Linked DNA regions of Caenorhabditis elegans. The protein of the gene in region 1 interacts with the protein of each later gene in a biochemical or structural test. Each region holds a gene or a part of one and is shown in the gene's direction. Other genes may lie near its edges.

Region 1 (5,407 bases):
AAATATCGATTCGGAGACAGAAGGCCCAGCCGAATACTTGGCCATTTCTTTCCAAAAAGTGGGCCATAATAAAAATCAAAATGATCCAGCGCCTGGGCTGATGGCGTTTTCAGTGGCTTCGTTTTTGCGATTTTTGTCTTGAACTTGACAGTTTTCCATCTAATTTGAGTGAAATAGAACGATTGTGAGGATTGTCGCAGACAGCTCATTCTGAATTAAATTTACTTATTCAAGTAATTTTAGAAAAAAAAAGGGAAAATTGGTAAAACTGATGAAATAAAAGGTTTTAGGACCAAATTAAAAACAAAATAAATTGGGATTTCTACCGGTTAATCACAGATTTATATTCAAAAATATGTAGTTCAATAATAGTTAAACATAAGAAATATATAATAATACTCAATTACAAGCTCCATTGCGCCTTGTAAGTTCGAATTTTGCCATCACGACAACATGTATAAATATTCTTCTGATAAATCGCCATATCGTACACCGGCTCACAATCGGCACCGGTTAGCTCGTACTCGGCGGAGATGATGCTTGACGAGGTGGGAAGGGAAAGGATCGGAAAGGCGAGAACATTTCCGGTGGCTGAAAATTAATTTATTTTTTAAATATAAAGTTTGAAGCTCATATTTTCTCACTGAATGATGCAATTAGTCGATTGCAATAGTATTTGAGGCAGGTGACGCTTCCTTTTTTGGTGACAATTTCCCCGATTAACCGGCGATCCGACACGTTATAGGCCGCCACGTGGCCATCCTCAAACCCGACGAACACCGCTTTTCCACCTTCATCTCCGGAAAAACAGAGAGCCGTAGGAACGGAAGGAAGCTGAATATCACGCCGAATCTTGTCGCCGTGCAGATCAATCGCTGATAGGAAATTGTTTTCGCAGATGACAGCGAATCTCGAGTCATCCACTGACATTGCCATGTCAATGCATTTTCCCTTCTCGAAGCTCCATGTTTCGGTTGGCGCAGCATTTTTGCAGCTCCAAAATCGTACTGTTCCGTCGTTGGAGCACGAGAGGAACTCTCGTCCAACTCCGATGATCCCGAAGCCTGTTACTGCCTTTGTGTGCCCGACGAACGTCTTCTGAGCCGGCACTTTATCCACTGCCCATACTCTGATCGCCATATCCATTCCACCGCCAATAACGACGAGACCCGACGGGAAATACATGCAGCGGTAGATGTCCATAGTGTGGCCGGTGAGTTCTGTCTGAAAATTATTAAATTTTCAGGTGAAAATCATCAAAATTTTGCGCTAAAATATTGTTTTTAAAGACCCACTAGAGTCTCGGCAGTTCTCGAATTCGCAATGATCAGCTTTCCGCTCGAATCAGCTGCAACAAAAGTGCTTCCGGTACATGAAACGTCGAACGAGCGCGGCGCTGATTGTAGCCCTCGGAGGTTCTGCTCACTGGTAGGACCGACGAAAATTGTGGTTCTCCCTTGGAAAGTGACATGTAGATTTTTATGCTCATCGAGAGAAACATCAGTGAAGTCGGAAGATTTAATTGAGCCTTCCTCTGGCATCACAGCGAATCCGTACTCATCAACAAGCTTTGTGATCTGTACTTGGAAGAATTCGGTTTTCGTAGCCTCGAATTTCTTGATTCCGAGGTAGAACTGCGAGACTGGTTCTCTGAAAAAAAAATAAATTTCCATGGAAATGTATATTAATTTACCTCAAATTGAGGTGCCAATCATGTTGAATTGAAAGCGTTTCGTCAATGTTTTTCGATGGATTTTGGGCTGTTTCAGCTTCCATTTTTATCTGGAATAATCAGTTTTAGGAGGGAAAGAATACATAAAAGCGATTTTTCTCTCTGAAAACTATTAAGAATGATAAAAGAAAATATCTACCGTAGTTTGCAAAGTCGTGCCGATGCCTTTACTACCGTTTATGGCCATGCGGCTTTGATGGTAGGTTTTCGTGGTGAGATATTTAGGATTTCGCAAAGCGGGTTTTTTTGTTTTTTAGGCGAATTTCTGGGAATTTCTTAAAGTTTTATCGTGTTTTTGAGACTACTTTCGTAATTTTTGGATGAAAAATTAAAATCTATCACTTAAAAACTCAACAATTCCCGTTATAACACTCCAATCTCGTTTAAAAACCTGTTTTTTCCTTTAAAATCTTACTTTTCTCCAACTTTGTCCAGCAGTTTCTGAATAATTTGTATAGCCGAAACATCTATTTAAACATCTTTGTTTTTGTCGAATGAGGCGCTTGGCAACCCTGCTCTATTGTACACCCTACTATGTTTGCGCACGCGCGGGAATCGTTTCCATTCGAATTGTCAGCCCTCCCATTGTTTTCCCGCTCGTTTTTCGACTTTTGTTCATCTTTTCGAAAATTTTACAGAGTTTAAATCAGTTTTTTTTTCCAGAAAGATGCCACCAAAAAAGCGCGCAGTCTCGCGAAAGCCAGCCGAGCCCACCATCAAACTGTTTTCGAGTATCCCGAAAATTTCGTCGGTTTGTGTTTATGAATAATTTCTTTTGATATAAAATATTTCTTTCAGATATTCGATGAAGTAAGCGAGGCTCATGACGACGCGGCTGCAAAAGTTTTCGCAGATCTGTACAAGAGGATGTCCTCGATCACAGAAGAACTGGCCACGCCTCAATTCTCGGCGGAACAGCTATTAAATGCCGTCCTAAAACCCGGACGCATTGATGCTGAGTTTGTTGAGTTGATTTCAAGACAGGTAAGAAAATCTCAAATTTACTTTATTCCGTCAATGCTTATTTTTTTCAGAAAGCGAAACCCGCTCAACCGTCCAGTTCAAGTCACCGCGGAGATGATGATATGGAAACCGACGAAGTCGAGACAGATCAAGCAGGACCCATCACTCCACGAGCCGGCTCAGTAGCGACTGATGGTGATTTCGAAGAGGACATATTGCCAGTCACGTTGAAGCGCATGCAGCAAATGAGCATATCCAAAAAGAAGACCGAAGGAAGCATCTCACGAAATGCAGCGTACAGTGGCACTCCTCGCAGAAATCCACCGCGTGAGGCTCACAATCAAGCTACTCCGCGCAACATTTTCTCGTCAACACCTGGACGTATGGCAGGAACTCCCGGCCGTGCAGCTGTGGTTCCAAGGACGCCCCATCGTGTGATTCCGTTCAATGATGCAGAAAAAGATCCGAATGCAAGGATGAAGCATGCTGATGAGCTCCGGATGAAAGAGCTCGAGAAGAAAAGGGAGAAAGCACGGAAGGACGAGGAGAAGCGGAATGCTGTCATGGAGCGCAGAAAAGAGCAGGAAAGAGTTCGTCAGGAAAAGCTCGACCAGTTGAAGCAAAAGGAAGAGCGTAATGCTAATTTGGCGAAACTTCACAACAGTGCAAAGTCGCCAACAAGAGCTCGTTTGATGCAAGACCATGCTCCAAACAAGGCTGCAAGTAGAAAAATCTTCCCAACGGCGGAAAGCACATCCACTCCTGGTCGAGGCCCTGCTAAGAAGGGAAAAGTTGAGATTCTAATTGGCTCAGATGGACAGAAGACTGCTCCTGTGGCTCAGCCGACCGTTGAACTATCGGTGAGTATTTACTTGATTGTATTTTCCTAATAATAATTTAACTCATTTCAGCCTTCCCGAGAATTGCAACGAAACGGTAGCCGGCAAGTCAAAATGGAGCCGATGAGCTGTGATGATTCAACTCCACCGGCGCGTCAACATAAACCAAAGGCGAAAGCGACGAAACGATCGGCCCACGCAGCTTCGTCTTCTACATCAAATGTTGAAGCTGCTGCCGCACTTGCCGCTCTTCAGGAACAGCAACGTATTCAGCTGGAACAGGAGCAGTATCTGCTACAGTTAGCAGAAGATGAACGACGAAAGCGGGAGCAGAAGGAAATGAAAGAGAAAGCGGAGAAGGAGCGTCAACTCAGAGCTCGAGAAGAGCAGGAGCATTTTCTGGCCGTTCAGAGAGAAGAGCAAGCTCAGCTGGAGAAGCAAAGAGAGCGAGAAGAGGCAGAGCTCCAGGCAACACTCGCAAGATGCGCGGAGAAACAAGCTCGTCAGGAAGCTCTTCGAAAAACGCCACCACCTGCAGCCTACGAAATGACTCCGCCACGTACCTATCAAAACAACTCAAAGAATGACTATGGTTTGAACGATCTTAACAGTGATGACGAGACAGATCAAGAAGATGATCCACGCAAAGATGTCCCGGCTTGGGCCGAATTCGCAGTTGTCCGTGAGAATGTCAGAAGACATGCCATTAATCCACCATTCGACGTGGCTCAATTCTTCGGATCGATTGGAAAGGTAATTGTTTTTTTTTTCTTGCAGCTCCTTCAGTAAAAATTTAAAAATTTTCAGCCAAATCTAAAGGAAATCTTTAGTGATGCTGTCAAAGTCAAGAAGCGCGGATCGTCAGCAGTGTGGAAAAAGAGTCCATCAACGTTAAACACGTCGTCTCGCACAATTCTTCAAGACATTTCGGAATGATGTTGTACCGAAGCAGCTTACATCGCCAGGAGTCGCTCCAGCATGCGACATAATCTTTTTTCAAAAATTGTAAAATGTTTTTATATTTCGTATTGAGTTATTTTTTATTTTCAATGTTTCCCCCTTTTTAACGGAGAATACAAAAACTCCATCGGCCCTAACTTTACATTAAATTTTTTTTTCGCTGTAAATAATAATTCTTCAGCCGATTTTTATTTTATTGTTCACTCATTGATTAACGTGTTCTGAATTCACGAGTTTATTTATTTATTTATTTTTCTATCAGTTAGAATTCAAATTATCATTTATTTCTTTCTTATAGGATGAGCAAAAGTCAAACCATTCAGGAATTCGATGAGAATTTCTTCAGCAGCTTTGCTGTACCGAAAGTCAAGGACTATTCGAGATTATCGAGCTCGCCGAGCAGAGACCAGCCGTGTGAGACGTCATACTTCGAAAATCACTTTCGTAAGACTATTCAAATATTATTTTTCATAATAAAGTTTTAATTTCCAGCAAGCCTGGAATGCGACACGCCGGTCAAAATGCAACTTCCCAAGACGAAGCGGGAATCCGATGATGATCTCCCATCTCCAACTATCGATAATCTTCTTTCGTCTTCATCGGAATCCACTGTAATCAACGCAAGTCAAAATGACAACACAGAAGAGAAGCAGCAGCAACCAATCAGAGAACCACTCAAAATCGTGCCAAACGAGGACGCATCAGCTTCAGGAAGCGGTGGAGAAAATCAGCTAATCGAGGGACTTGAGAAATTGTCAATGTTTGCACCAAAAGCTCCAGAGGAACGTCTTTCGCAGCGTCGCCGTTCAGAGCAGAGAAAGAAAGAAGAGGAAGATAAGAGGACATCCGTCATTGCTCCAGCGTCCGGAACTCGTTCTCGCTCGATCAGCACGAAACGTTCAATGTCGCGTGA
Region 2 (5,218 bases), on another chromosome or scaffold:
ATAAGTGGTTCCAAGACATATTCGTAGATCCTTTCTGGTTCAAGAAGAAGATTCAAATCTCCTGTTTTTACAGCAATTGAAATAAGCCCGTGATAAAGTGAAAGGCATTGCCGAACTTCTGGGACTGGAAGGAGATCATAGTGTGGTGATGTCATCTTTCTCATAAGTCCGTCCACGTGATGATTTATACCGGCAATACATACTTGACGAACTGTTTTGACGAGATCTGCGAGCATTATTGTAAAATAACTATCTTTTCGAATCAAAGTCTCGAACTTGTTTGCATAGAAAATTAAAATATTTCCCATTTTGAAAATTGTGATGGCATTTTTTTCTGTCGACAGCAGTTGCTCTACCCTAATCTGTAAACTATTATCATATATTATAGTCCAATAATTTAAACTTTTTACCTTGAACGGCGAAGTCAAAGATTTCAGGCATTCATCAAGAACGATCGGAAGATTTTCTGCGGAACAAATTGAGCTGAACAACTGTTTTTCTTGCTCCGTGAGCTCGTGAATCGAAGTCAGCATATCTCCAACTGCCTTCAGTGGTTCTGCCAACCCTTCAGGCATTTGGACAGCCATTTTGTTAATTTCAACAAACTGATTGAGCAATTCTTGTGAGCGAGATGAAATGTATTGGTCTGAAAACTAGGTTAATGGTGAGTAGATTTGAAGAACTAAACGTACCAATGGCAAGCTGGAATACAGCATCATTCTGACTTATGATTTTGAAAGCTTTAGAAAGAATTTGCTTTTTCTGATGAGAATCAACTGTCAGATTTTGAAATTCGCGTTTCAGATTGTTACAGATAATTGCATGGCTTCTTTCGTCAATTTTTTGCATTTTTTCCATCACTTCAAAAGCGGCAAGATGTCCTTGCTCCTGAACCATATTTCTGCAGTTCTCGCGAATTTCGTGGCACCTCTCAAGAACTTTGAAGAAAAATTCCGATAGATGACCACTTTGTTCACATTCGTCTAATTCTCGAAGCTCTTCACTTGATAAAGAATAGTTTTCGAGAAATTCATTTATCATATTACAACGGCTTTCTATACTCGCTTTCTTCTCCTTCAAGCTTGCTGTTTTCTGCACCAAATCAACACTTTTGAACTTTACAGTCTCCATTTGCTTTGATAAATTCGTGCATGTGGAGTTCATTTTTACACAGAGCTCATCGAATTTTTGCACAATGTTATTTATCTGAAATAGCAGATTTAAAATGAAATGATTTCAGGTTTATTCTAACTTTTTCGAACTCGCTCAAATATTCCTTGTTTAGTCTCAACTCGTATCGTTCTAGTTTATTGTGTAGTTTCCTATCAACATTTGAATCAAGGTTCATATCTTCGACCAGTGGAGTGATGAAATCAGCAATTTTGATGCAATCCTGTAAGAAATGCCATAAGTTTCGTTTGTAATTAATATTTTAGCTGACCTTGTCATTATACAGCTTCTTTGCACATGCAGTAGTCACTTTTTCTCGTAAAGGATTGACTGCTGATGAAGTTTTATCGATTACTGACATTTTATTGATTCAAATTCACCGAATTCTGCGAAAAAAATCGCAGAACTCAGTGGAATAGAAAATGCAGAATTGATTTATTCGCAACGTGTCAGCAACGACACTCCGAAATAACAGAGCGCGTGTTGTTTAGCAATGCCGCTCAACAACCCGCCAAGCAAAATTCATTCAAAGTGACTGCCTTTGTTCTAATTTTTGACGTGTTCTTGAATTAGTCGCGATTTTCTTTTTCCTTTCTCATTAAATTTTTTATTCCTCAATTTTATTATAATATTTCAACTCGCAGAATTACATTAATCATGAGCGGAAAGGAAAATACTGCTCCTGTGATAGACGATCAGAAGGCCGAGGTAATTGTTATTAAAATTAGAAAGGCATCAATTCTAATCTTCAGGTTATTTCACTTACGGAAGATAGCAGACCTCAGAGAGTTGACCAGGCAAGGGAAGAATCATGGTGAGAATAATTGATTTATTACTTTTACAATGTAATGGACTTTAGCTGGAGTCTTGATGATTTTGACGTTGGACGGCCTCTCGGAAAAGGAAAGTTTGGAAACGTTTTCATCTCTCGTGAAAAAAAGACCAAGCGAATCATAGCTTTGAAAGTACTCTTCAAAACACAGTTGCTTCAACTTGGAGTCAGTCATCAGTTGAAGAGAGAGATCGAAATTCAATATCATTTGCGGTATGTTTTCTCGAAGTCATCTCATCCAAATCAATTAATCAATATTATTTCAGTCATCCGAATATTCTCACTCTTTATGGATACTTTCACGATGACAAGCGTGTGTTCGTCATTCTCGACTATGCCAGCAGAGGAGAATTATTTAATGTCCTCCAATCACAACCTGGACACAAAGTGAATGAGGTCATTGCCGGAAGGTGTGATTTTGTAGATATTTCAGAAATATAGTAAATTTCCTCAGATTTGTGCGACAGCTGGCCAATGCGTTGCATTACTGCCATTCGAAAGGAGTTATTCACAGAGACATTAAGCCTGAAAATCTTCTTCTTGATTCGAAGCTCAATCTGAAGGTACGCGTATAAATATGGTTAACTAAGTACTCAAAAAGTCTTCTGCAATGTTCTCAGTGCATCCTTTGGTTCTCCGAGCCGAAAGAAGTCACTAGCTGAAAAAGAGTTTATACTCTGATCACACAGTAACATTGCAATAAAAGCTTAGCTCGAGATGCGTGTGCCGTTCTGCTTTTAATGCGATCTGGTTCCTTTTCTCCTCGGGACAATTACCGTAAAAATTAAATTCAACACATTTTATGCATTCTTTCTAAAAAATAAGACTTGTATTTCAGCTTGCCGATTTCGGATGGTCCGTCGTTGCTGATCACTCGAAACGCCATACATTGTGCGGTACCATGGATTATCTTGCTCCGGAAATGGTTTCCAATCAGCCACATGACTTTAATGTTGACATTTGGGCAATTGGAATTCTTCTCTTCGAAATGCTTGTTGGATATGCTCCGTTCGCCAATCAAACTGGTGATAAATTGATCGCCAGAATCAAGGAGTGCAAGATTTATGTTAGTAATTATGAACTAAATTTGTTAGAATCTTAATAAGCAGTTCTCCAACAGAAATATGTGCATGAAGTGATGGTTTGGGTAACCATTTCATCTTTTCATGTCATATATCTCCTGCCTCTCACGGTTTCATCTGTGAGAAGCTTCAAAGAACTGCAATAGAAGTCTAGCTCGAGATGCGTGTGCCGGTTTGCTTTTAATGCAATATGGTTCCTTTTCTCCTCGGGACAGTTCTCAAACATTCATTTCCATTTTGTTTCCCAAGTAGTTTCATCTAAATTGCTTCTTTTTTGCAGATTCCAAGTGTTGTGACTGACGGAGCTGCCAGTTTGATAAATGCAATAATCAAAAAGGAACCCCAAGAACGTCTCCCACTTGTTGACATCATGGCTCATCCGTGGATTAAGGAAATGAAGCAACGCGAAGACATTGAAGTTCCACTCTTCATTTCGACGCTCACGAAATCCAGTCGCAATAATTCTACAGCCAATCAATAAAAGCTCTGTCTATTGTCCATTAAAGTCTCAACCTTTTCTACTTGTCTTTCCAAACAATTATCATCTGCACTTTCCCTTCTTTAGAACCGTATATCATACGGCTACTAACTTCTTATTTTCGCTAATCCATTTAAGCAATTTATCCGTTTTCATCCTTTTGTTTCTTCTCACACTGACAACGAGAAGGATTTAAATTTATCTAAATCAATTATTCTTTATTTGTGTGTGTGTAAAATCATTAGATTCCCGTGAAAGTACTGTATCGTGTGTTCCCGTCTGCCCCATTAATTTTTTCCCAAATTTCGCATCCAAGTGTCTCGATTATCACATAAACGATGGTGCACCTCTTTGTTCATTGGTTCTCAGAAGAAATACAATGCTTTCTGCTAAAAGCCAAAACTCAAACAGTGGTGGCGGTAAGTAGAAGGCTGCCGCCTTTTTTGGCACTGTTTTGTTCCGCCAAAAAAGTAGCATGGTATGCAAACATTATAACGAGTTAACACTACATTGGTAGGAGTGGGAACGTTTTTTGGAACAGCTAAAGTTTGAAACATAAAGCGGAGGTTTAACAACGTTAAGTGGTATCTGGCAGAGAGCCTTAAATATCGTACATTCGCAAAAACTTTATCCTAGCTAGGTGCTATGTGCTACATGAAAAATTCTAGTTTTTTCTGTACATTTCAGAATTTCAAAATTCGTATAGTACATTTTCCATATCAAATGAAAAAATCTGTAAATTTTGGAACCTCACTATGACTGAGTTCGTGCCGAGACCCACTCAGGAAAACATCGTGTGCCTTTTAACTGATATCTCAGCATTTCGTGAAAATACAATATAAACATTTCTTTCTAATGTTTAATAATAACTGTAATCCTTGAAATGAACTGATCAATTAGATACTAGAATAATGCACAAAAATGTTTAATATTTGCGCGAATAACTGGTCGTTACCATCTGGTTGTTACATATCCGGTGATTACTAACCATTTATTTGATGGAGATTTGGATATATGTAGTCAATTTAGGTGAGTACAAACAAGATGACCCGTAGATATGCACTAGAGGTGTTTGTCAAGTGGTTGATTGGATATGACGATATTACGTTGCTCAATTTTTTGAATTTTTATATTTATCTGTTTTCATAAACAATTTAGCAGCTAGAAAAAAACAGTGACATTTCTCAGGTGTCCGTGTGTTCCATGCCTTCGAAATCGAAGAAAATCACGCAGTCGTTGGTGGAAAAGCAATGCCGTCACATGTGGACTGAGATGTACTAAAAAACCTAAGAATAAATACCGTATCAACACCTGGATTTGACAAGTTTATGTCAAAACAGTTTATTCTTCAGAAATTAACACCACAGGAGTCTATAGGCTTCGAAAAGATTTGTGACGTCAGATATTTAAACCACGAGCTTCCACGACTTCAGATGTTAAAACACACCCGTGTAACTTCATCCTTAAATGGAATCATGGGTAAAACATTGTCAAGTTCAACTGCCTACAGTAACCAACAATCATATTCCCACCGGCTGGTTCCTATTTGGCAAAGTCCCATCGTTTCCCCCTAATAATCTCAACAAATACCTATGCAGCTACTGTTTGCCCCCCCCCCCTTGCCTTATAATAGGCGGAGCCTTGAGAGCTTTGAGA
Region 3 (4,336 bases), 3.6 Mb from region 1:
TGTGGCATCTCCATTGTTACCATTGTCGCTGAAATTGAAGCTTTTTAATGAATATAATTTTAATTTGTTCCTTTCAGCCACACAAAATTTAAAGTGGTTCCGAATTTCAATTTTTTCCATCTAAAATCAAATAAATAACAAAAATAGGTTTCAGATTAAATGAAAGTTTTATGTGCCAGAAAGATATTGCATTTCTTAGCCAGAAATACATAAAGGCCCATGGAGTTTCAAAATTGTACAGAACAAAAATAAATTTTCATTTTTTGGAGGAAATCAGCTGAATTATATTTGGAAATTTCGGGTCGAGAGACAAGAAAAGTATTTCAATTTTTTTTTAATCTTAATGAACTCTTACCTAATGTGGATAATGCAACAGAAATGAATTTCGATGGGTCACTGCAGTAAAGTGAATCGGCAAGATGTAAGGCACATAGTCTAACACCGGATTTTTCCAAAAAGCGGATAACTTTCCATAGTTCGCCTTCGCTTTTGTATAGTTCCAACTGTCCGGGACAATCAATTATCAGATATTTCTTGTGATTCGCTTCGATTTTCTGAAAAAAGATTTAATTGAATATTAAAACTACAAAGAGGTTAAAAATGATTTCCGATTTTCTCGATTCAAATTTAGAGAATTCCAGATTTTAGCTCAATTGTTGTGAAAACAATTTTTAGCTTTTGAGAATTAACTTTTTCTGCCAAAAAAATTACCTGGAGGAGCCAATTACAATTAGCTCCAAGTGTTTCAATACAGTATTTGAGAGCTCCATTTGGTCCAAGTCCAAGTCGATCCATTACATCATTCACAGTGATCATTTCCTAAACTTTAGTATTTTAAATGAAAAATATGACCTTAAGTATTAAAATAACATTGATAGATGATCTGTACCACGTTTCATAATTATTGTCCTATATTCATTGGAATAAAATACTTACAGTGATATTTACATCAGGTGCGTATGCCATTGTGTCATTAGCAGGATCAAGATTGATAGTGAGAAATGGTCGTTTGGTTTGTGAGAAAATGTCCGTTAATCCTGCACAAAATGTAGATTTTCCAGCTCCAGGAGCTCCAATTACAAGAACTCCGTACATAGTCCAATGAGTACTGAAATTTTCTAGTTGAATCTTAATTTTCTACGGATTGTTTTGATAGGAAAACATTTAAGAAGAACAAAAATATATAAATACAATTTAATTTAATTTAAAACAAACAAAAAAGCAGGATAAACGGGCCTGGCACAGGGCCAAGTACGCATTTACACCGTACATGACGACATATTGCGGACCATTGCATTTTGCCGCGTTAATTTTTTATTTAAACGGCTTGCATTTCTCCTTACTATCCAGCTGACAATTTTTAGTTTCTTTAGAATTATTTGCAATCAAAACTCGTTTTTTGTAAACATATTTACTCAGGTAATGTGTTGATTTCTCACTTTTTTTTGAAATCAAAGCAGAATTAGTCCTATTTTTATTCTACATAAATATCTAAATGTATTCAATTAAAAATTGGGCCATTGAACTTCTAATTAATTCAATTTATAAATTTATCGTGATGTTTTCTTTTAGTTAATTTGTCCTTAATCGTGCCGTCTATTTTATTTCTTCATAAAAAACTTTTCAGTTCCGACATGGAGAATAAGCCACCTGTAATCAACCTTCCAGAGAAGGAAACTGTGAATACTCCACAGAAGGGAGGGTAAGAAATCAAGGTTTTAAAAGTTTATAAATTATTCTTGATTTTACAGAAAATTTACTATTAACGATTTCGAGATCGGAAGACCACTGGGAAAAGGAAAATTCGGCAGTGTTTACCTGGCTCGCACAAAAACTGGACATTTCCATGTAGCGATCAAGGTAACATATTGATTTATTTTGTATTTATTTGAATTATCATTTTTCTGACATCCGTTTTACCCATACATATTTTCAGGTTCTATTCAAATCGCAACTCATCTCAGGAGGCGTCGAGCATCAATTGGAGCGTGAAATTGAGATTCAATCTCATTTGAATCACCCGAATATTATCAAGCTCTACACATATTTTTGGGATGCGAAGAAGATCTATCTCGTTTTGGAATATGCCCCCGGAGGCGAAATGTACAAGCAATTGACAGTGAGCAAGAGATTCTCAGAGCCAACAGCTGCAAAATATATGTATGAGATCGCAGATGCTTTGTCATATTGCCACAGGAAAAATGTGATTCATCGCGACATTAAACCGGAGAATTTGCTTATCGGATCACAAGGAGAATTGAAAATTGGAGATTTTGGATGGAGTGTTCATGCTCCTTCGAATAAGTGAGTTTATCCTCAAATTTAGGAAATCTAGATGTTTCCAAAAATTCACTGTCATGTTTTCAGGCGCCAAACAATGTGCGGAACAATGGACTATCTCCCTCCTGAAATGGTGAATGGAGCCGATCACAGTGACGCAGTTGACTTATGGGCAATCGGCGTTCTCTGCTATGAGTTTCTCGTTGGAAAACCCCCATTCGAGCACGAAGATCAGTCCAAGACATATGCGGCAATCAAAGCGGCACGGTTTACTTACCCTGATTCTGTGAAGAAGGGTGCACGAGATTTGATTGGAAGATTGCTTGTCGTTGATCCCAAGGCTCGCTGTACGCTTGAACAGGTTTGTTATTGATTTCAGCTTAGTGGCCAACATATTATCAGCACACAGAAGTACACTTTTGTAGTGTTCTTAATTATCATAATTCATTAAATTATTACAGGTGAAGGAACACTACTGGATCCAGGGAATGATGGAGGCAAAAATTAGAGCTGAGAAGCAGCAAAAGATTGAAAAAGAAGCAAGTCTTCGGAATCACTGATCAACTACTGATTTTCCCGTCCTTCTTTCAATCATCTCGTCTGTCTGTCAAATAAAGGATCTCATCACATTTACTAGAAATTTTAAAAAGTGAAATAACTTGTCAACCAATTTTTCATGTAGTTTTTGTTTCGCGAACTCTATTATTCCCAATCGTCTAACCCCATTCATTCAACATAAATTTATTTTCTTTTCTCGTTCTCCATCTTTCTCAATATATCTACAACAACTCAATTAGTACCTCCCGAGATTTTCTCCTTTTTCAGATGTCGCGTAGACTCGCACTCGGAGCAGCTGCTTCTTTTCGTTGAGGTTCATTTGCATTTTTAGATTTTTGAGAAAAAAAAAAAAATAAAATTTAAAAGCGACAAGAAAATTTCGATTTTCTTTAGGATTATTTTATCACACCGTGCGACTTTATAGTCCCAAAAGGAAAAATAACAACTAAGCTTAGTACTGAGTACACTTGAAATTTCAAAACATGAGGTTTTTGAAATTCACGTGCTCCAACAATTTCAAGCACTTCTTGTGCCCTTTTTAAGTCCTCGAAAACTTATAATTTTTTCAGTAAGTGGTGCGGGGACATTTTCAAAAAGTTGTTTTTCTCAAACAAAGCATATTTCACAAGATGTCATTCTGGACAACAAAAAATTAAATTAAATTTTTAAATTACAGGGAACTTTTACCGATTAAGCGCGGGCGGTGTAATTATAGGTTTCGATGATGTGGTACTTTGGCTATAATTTAGTTATACAACTAGAATTTTCTAATTTTTTTATTTTCTTTCGAGATTTCTGAGAACACATTTTTATTTGAGAACTCATGCTAATTGCTGAACCGTTTTCTCCGATTTCTTCAAAAATCTCACATTTTTTGTCTGATTAAGAAAATTAAAGTTTCATTTTTCACTTGTGAATAACGCATCTTTTGAAATCAGAATGCAATCGCGCTCCAACGCCAAATAGAAAGACTCCGCCCCGATAATTTGGGTCTCGTTAGGTATTTGCGGAAAATACGTAAATGTATTATTTTTCCAAAATTTTCATTCAGTTTCGTTGATTTCACTCGTTTTCAATCATTTTTTCGTGAAATTTTGTTGTTCATTTTATTATAGCAAAATATAGCCAAAAATAGCCAAAAATTCGAAAATTCTATTAAACTAGGGTAATCGACGAAAATAGCCAAAAGTATGACTGGCGGAGCACTCTGATTCCAATGTTTGTGAACCTTATGATTTTTCAATTAATGAACCTGAAATTTCGACGTACTTAGCTAACTGAATAATCAATTAAAAATAGTCCAAGTAGTGACGTCTCACTTTTTTTCGAATGCGGATATTGAAAAATCAGCTGCTGCCGAATCGACAATCATCGATCTCCTAACACTCTTCTTACCTGAAACTTCTTGAGTCACGGTTATTTTCAACAAAAAATGATTTTTTTATGTGTTGGTTTCTGCGTTTATTCGTATTTGGAACTATGTAGAAGTCAAGTACGA
Region 4 (3,942 bases), on another chromosome or scaffold:
GTCCTGAATCCAGTTTTCGCAGAGATTTACAACTTTCGGGGAGGTCATATTATAATCTAAGAATATCCAAGGAGATTGGAGATTTGAAATCGCGCGAATCGGAATTGCACGTGATGATTTTATACACAGCTTCTTGGCTGAATATATCTGGAAGGAAACAACAAATTTCTGTGAATTTTCAAATTTCAGACTCTACCACAGGCTCCGCCAGAATCAAGTAATCCATTCCAACAAAATCCACCTCCGCCGTCTCGAACGGGCGAGCTCGGAGGCAATCAAACCAGGTCGTGTAGTCATATCTCAGGGATTCAATCCGCATTCTTACAAAAATGTGTCGAATATTCAATTGGCAGCACGCCTCGAGACCATATGGATGATTCTGCAAACGCACGACGGTCTCGTCACGACAAAATTTCGTTAATTGATAAAAGGTGTGCGCCTTTAAAGAGCACTGTAATTGAAAACTTTCGTTGCTCACGCGGGATCCTGGCCTTGCTCATTGAATTTTTCGCGCTCCATTGATAATCTCCCGCTGGACAACGCGTGGGAAAGTCGTGTACTCCACACGGACACGTACATTTCGTTTTACAACTAAAACCGAGCCGCGACGCGACACGCAACGCACCTTAAATCTACCCCAGATATGGCCGAGCCAAAATGGACTAGTTCGGCCTAAACTCTTCCATTTCAATTTATGAGGGAAGCCAGAAATCTGTGAAAACTAGAAGAAAATAATTAAAAACCCCAAATTTCCAACAAATTATAGAAAAAACTAGATAACACAAAAATTTGTAATTACAGTACTCTTTAAAGGCGCACACATAATCGCGTAAGAATTACCAGAATTTGCAGTGTATGAATACTTGTTCCTGGTCGATTTAAATAGAAATCCACCAATTTCCGAAAGGTTTCAGTCTGTGAATCTTCAGGACTTGCAATTAAAATTCCGAATTGTTGAACTCCACCGAATAAAACGTTGGCGCCAAGCTGAGCAGTTTGAATATTGAAATTATATTTTTTATCAATCGAAAAGTGCCAGTCCTCCCTTGTTGTATCGATTTTTATACAATTAAAGTGATAGGGAAGCTTTTTTTCAAGCTTGCGAAATATCGAGTTGAAATTTGCAAGATGGCTTCTGTAATCGTGTTTTCAAATGGATTCTAAAATAAAACCCACTTCTTGTCAAATGATAAATATTTGAATATGCATGGGACGCTTTCAGAATACATTTTAAGCTGAAATATTATCAATAATTGCAGCAAAAAAGGCAAAATTGCGAAATTTCTTGCTACGAAATTTTCTTCAGTGAAAATTAATTGTTCTAGTTGGTATCAAGTGTATGCAAATGGAAAAACGGTAAAAAATATATTTCAAATCATGTTTTCATAAGTTTGTCTTTATAAATCTTTATTCCAGACCTGTTTCCTTCTTTTGCGCGTGGGGTACGGTACGCAGTCCGCAAACACCGAATGCGAGCGCGAAAATTTTTCGATTAATTTTATAATTTTTTCCGCCATTTTTCTCATTTTCCACGCATTTTTCGATTTCTTTTGTGATTTTTACCTTAAAAAAGTTAATTTTCACGTTAATTTCCCTCAAAAATTCGATTTTCTCCGATTATTTCTCATTATTTTCTTCAGAATGCCACCACGCAAGATCAAGAAGGACCCGGCTGTGGTTGCGATGGCGGATACTCTCGAGACGCGTGGTAAGCTTGAAGATCTCCAGTAATTTATTATATTTAAATAATTTATTTTCCAGTCAAGGACTTACTCGAGGAGTATAAGAAGAAGCTGCGGGAGGTCGCCCTTCAGACAGCAAAGGCTGAATCCGACCGGATCATCGCCACAATCAAGCCAAAATACAGGGATATGCCGATCATGGAGTTTCTGGCATCGCCACCGGATGATTTCTACATTGAATCCGGCGAGGAGGAGGAGGAAGGAGAAGCGGCGGTGGCGGTTAAGCAGGAGCTTCCTTCCGAGCCTGACATGGAAATCGACGACGCGGCGGCGGCGCAAAAGACGAGCATTCCGATTGGCCAGAACTCGTAAGTTTTCAAAAAAATCCAAATTTCCGCCATTTACTTTTATCAATAAATTTTCCAGCGGCCGGAACACGGTGCAGGTCAAGCAGGAGCCTGAAATCGACGACGATGCGGCGCATGAGACGAGCATTCCGATTGCTCCATCTGGCCAGAACTCGTAAGTTTTCAACAAAAAAAAAATCGATTTCTCAATAAATAAATTAATTTTTTTTCAGCGGCAGGAACACGGCGGCCGACGAGCACCGCCGCAACGAGATCATAACGCCAGCTGGACAAGTGCTCCCACTGCCAACACTTCAACCGGAAAAGCCATTCCGTGCTCCACACGTTGACGAGGAAATCGCCTTCTCGGTGAACGGATCGCCACTGGTCTTGGCTGGAAGAACTACTGCTACTGCTGCTGGCAAGGAGAATCGGAAGAAGTCGAAGAAATCTGGTGCGGCGAGCAAGAAGGCAGCGGCAGCAGCCGGGCCTCTCCAGCCGGAAACTGAAAATGCCGGGACGTCTGTATAGGAAAAATCCCCCGATTTAATTTTTCCCCCGCTTTAATTTTTATAATGATCTGTAAATACTTGATATTTCAATTTTTCCCGTCTTTTACCTTTTATATGCAAATTTTTTGATCTCAACGATCGTTTGATTCTCTAAATAGACTGCAAAAAATTTGACTGCAAAAAATCGAAAAAAAATTAGTTTTTTTTCAGAGAAAATCGGAAAGAAAACTTCCAGCCTTCTTGTACTACTCTTGGACAACTGTGAACTAGTTATTTAAACAGTTTTTGACAAGAATCCGCGATTTTGTTCAACTTACGCTAATTCTTTTTGTGTTTTACATCAGCGGTGGACGCCAAACTGTCGGAATTGAAGATTTCCGGCAAATCTGTAATTTGCCGGAATTGAATATTTGCGGCAAATCTGTAATTTGCCGGAATTGAATATTTGCGGCAAATCTGTAATTTGCCGGAATTAAATGTTTCCGGAACATCGGCAAATTGCCGGTATTAAATGTTTCCGGAACATCGGCAAATTGCCGGAATTGAGTATTTCCGGTAATTCGGCAAATTGCCGGAATTGAGTATTTCCGGCAAATCGGCAAATTGCCGGAATTGAAATTTCCAGCAAATCGGCAAATTGCCGTAAATGATTATTTCCGGCAAATCGGCAAATTGCCGGAATTAAATATTTCCGTAGATAAAGTTTTTACAGAAAAGTCATCAACTGATAAGTTGTTGATATTGTTGTAAAGAACAAGTTTGTAGTTGAAAGTTTTTTACCAAAAAATTTTTGTTTGAGATAAATAAAACCGCGTGAAGTGCGGCTTATGATCCTTTGAAGCTGAAGGATCAGATCACCAGGAGGTACCCTTCTTATCCTTCGGAGCTGAATGATCAGATTACCAGGAGGTACTCTTCTTATCCTTCGGAGCTGAATGATCAGATCACCAGGAGGTACCCTTCTGATCCTTCGGAGCTGAAGGATCAGATCACCAGGAGGTACCCTTCTTATCCTTCGGAGCTGAATGATCAGATTACCAGGAGGTACTCTTCTTATCCTTCGGAGCTGAATGATCAGATCACCAGGAGGTACCCTTCTTATCCTTTGAAGCTGAAGGATCAGATCACCAGGAGGTACCCTTCTTATCCTTCGGAGCTGAATGATCAGATTACCAGGAGGTACTCTTCTTATCCTTCGGAGCTGAATGATCAGATCACCAGGAGGTACCCTTCTGATCCTTCGGAGCTGAAGGATCAGATCACCAGGAGGTACCCTTCTTATCCTTCGGAGCTGAATGATCAGATTACCAGGAGGTACTCTTCTTATCCTTCGGAGCTGAAGGATCAGATCACCAGGAGGTACCCTTCTTATCCTTCGGAGCTGAATGATCAGATTACCAG

What was found.
Region 2: the proteins of icp-1 (region 1) and air-1 form a complex in vitro, tested with the Caenorhabditis elegans proteins (one study listed by BioGRID).
Region 3: the proteins of icp-1 (region 1) and air-2 form a complex in vitro, tested with the Caenorhabditis elegans proteins (4 studies listed by BioGRID, with this or other methods).
Region 4: the proteins of icp-1 (region 1) and csc-1 form a complex in vitro, tested with the Caenorhabditis elegans proteins (one study listed by BioGRID).

What each region holds. Positions count from the first base shown.
Region 1 is NC_003279.8:2,303,779-2,309,185, reverse strand, and holds icp-1 (Inner centromere protein ARK-binding domain-containing protein), read left to right. Parts: upstream 1-2,395; 5' UTR 2,396-2,399; coding exon 2,400-2,483; intron 2,484-2,530; coding exon 2,531-2,716; intron 2,717-2,766; coding exon 2,767-3,555; intron 3,556-3,606; coding exon 3,607-4,287; intron 4,288-4,341; coding exon 4,342-4,470; 3' UTR 4,471-4,673; downstream 4,674-5,407. Other genes in the region: 5-cytosine rRNA methyltransferase nsun-4, read right to left, coding at 1-209; Y39G10AR.9 (WD_REPEATS_REGION domain-containing protein), read right to left, coding at 404-591, 645-1,224, 1,296-1,650, 1,694-1,782, 1,872-1,919; tpxl-1 (TPX2 domain-containing protein), read left to right, coding at 4,794-4,938, 4,987-5,407.
Region 2 is NC_003283.11:8,219,674-8,224,891, forward strand, and holds air-1 (Aurora kinase), read left to right. Parts: upstream 1-1,814; 5' UTR 1,815-1,827; coding exon 1,828-1,878; intron 1,879-1,922; coding exon 1,923-1,984; intron 1,985-2,029; coding exon 2,030-2,215; intron 2,216-2,268; coding exon 2,269-2,412; intron 2,413-2,456; coding exon 2,457-2,565; intron 2,566-2,607; exon of another isoform or gene 2,608-2,776; intron 2,777-2,840; coding exon 2,841-3,068; intron 3,069-3,105; exon of another isoform or gene 3,106-3,300; intron 3,301-3,364; coding exon 3,365-3,565; 3' UTR 3,566-3,909; downstream 3,910-5,218. Other genes in the region: cogc-6 (Conserved oligomeric Golgi complex subunit 6), read right to left, coding at 1-362, 411-646, 693-1,206, 1,253-1,393, 1,442-1,531.
Region 3 is NC_003279.8:5,935,850-5,940,185, forward strand, and holds air-2 (Aurora/IPL1-related protein kinase 2), read left to right. Parts: upstream 1-1,627; 5' UTR 1,628-1,634; coding exon 1,635-1,702; intron 1,703-1,751; coding exon 1,752-1,860; intron 1,861-1,936; coding exon 1,937-2,304; intron 2,305-2,367; coding exon 2,368-2,641; intron 2,642-2,741; coding exon 2,742-2,840; 3' UTR 2,841-3,027; downstream 3,028-4,336. Other genes in the region: B0207.6 (GPN-loop GTPase 2), read right to left, coding at 1-28, 356-554, 712-819, 937-1,095. UniProt on the Caenorhabditis elegans protein: Serine/threonine-protein kinase component of the chromosomal passenger complex (CPC), a complex that acts as a key regulator of chromosome segregation and cytokinesis.
Region 4 is NC_003280.10:13,595,315-13,599,256, forward strand, and holds csc-1 (Chromosome segregation and cytokinesis defective protein 1), read left to right. Parts: upstream 1-1,640; 5' UTR 1,641-1,641; coding exon 1,642-1,708; intron 1,709-1,761; coding exon 1,762-2,050; intron 2,051-2,108; coding exon 2,109-2,204; intron 2,205-2,262; coding exon 2,263-2,560; 3' UTR 2,561-2,633; downstream 2,634-3,942. Other genes in the region: fbxc-23 (FTH domain-containing protein), read right to left, coding at 1-147, 197-379, 841-1,135, 1,177-1,229. UniProt on the Caenorhabditis elegans protein: Component of the chromosomal passenger complex (CPC), a complex that acts as a key regulator of chromosome segregation and cytokinesis during mitosis.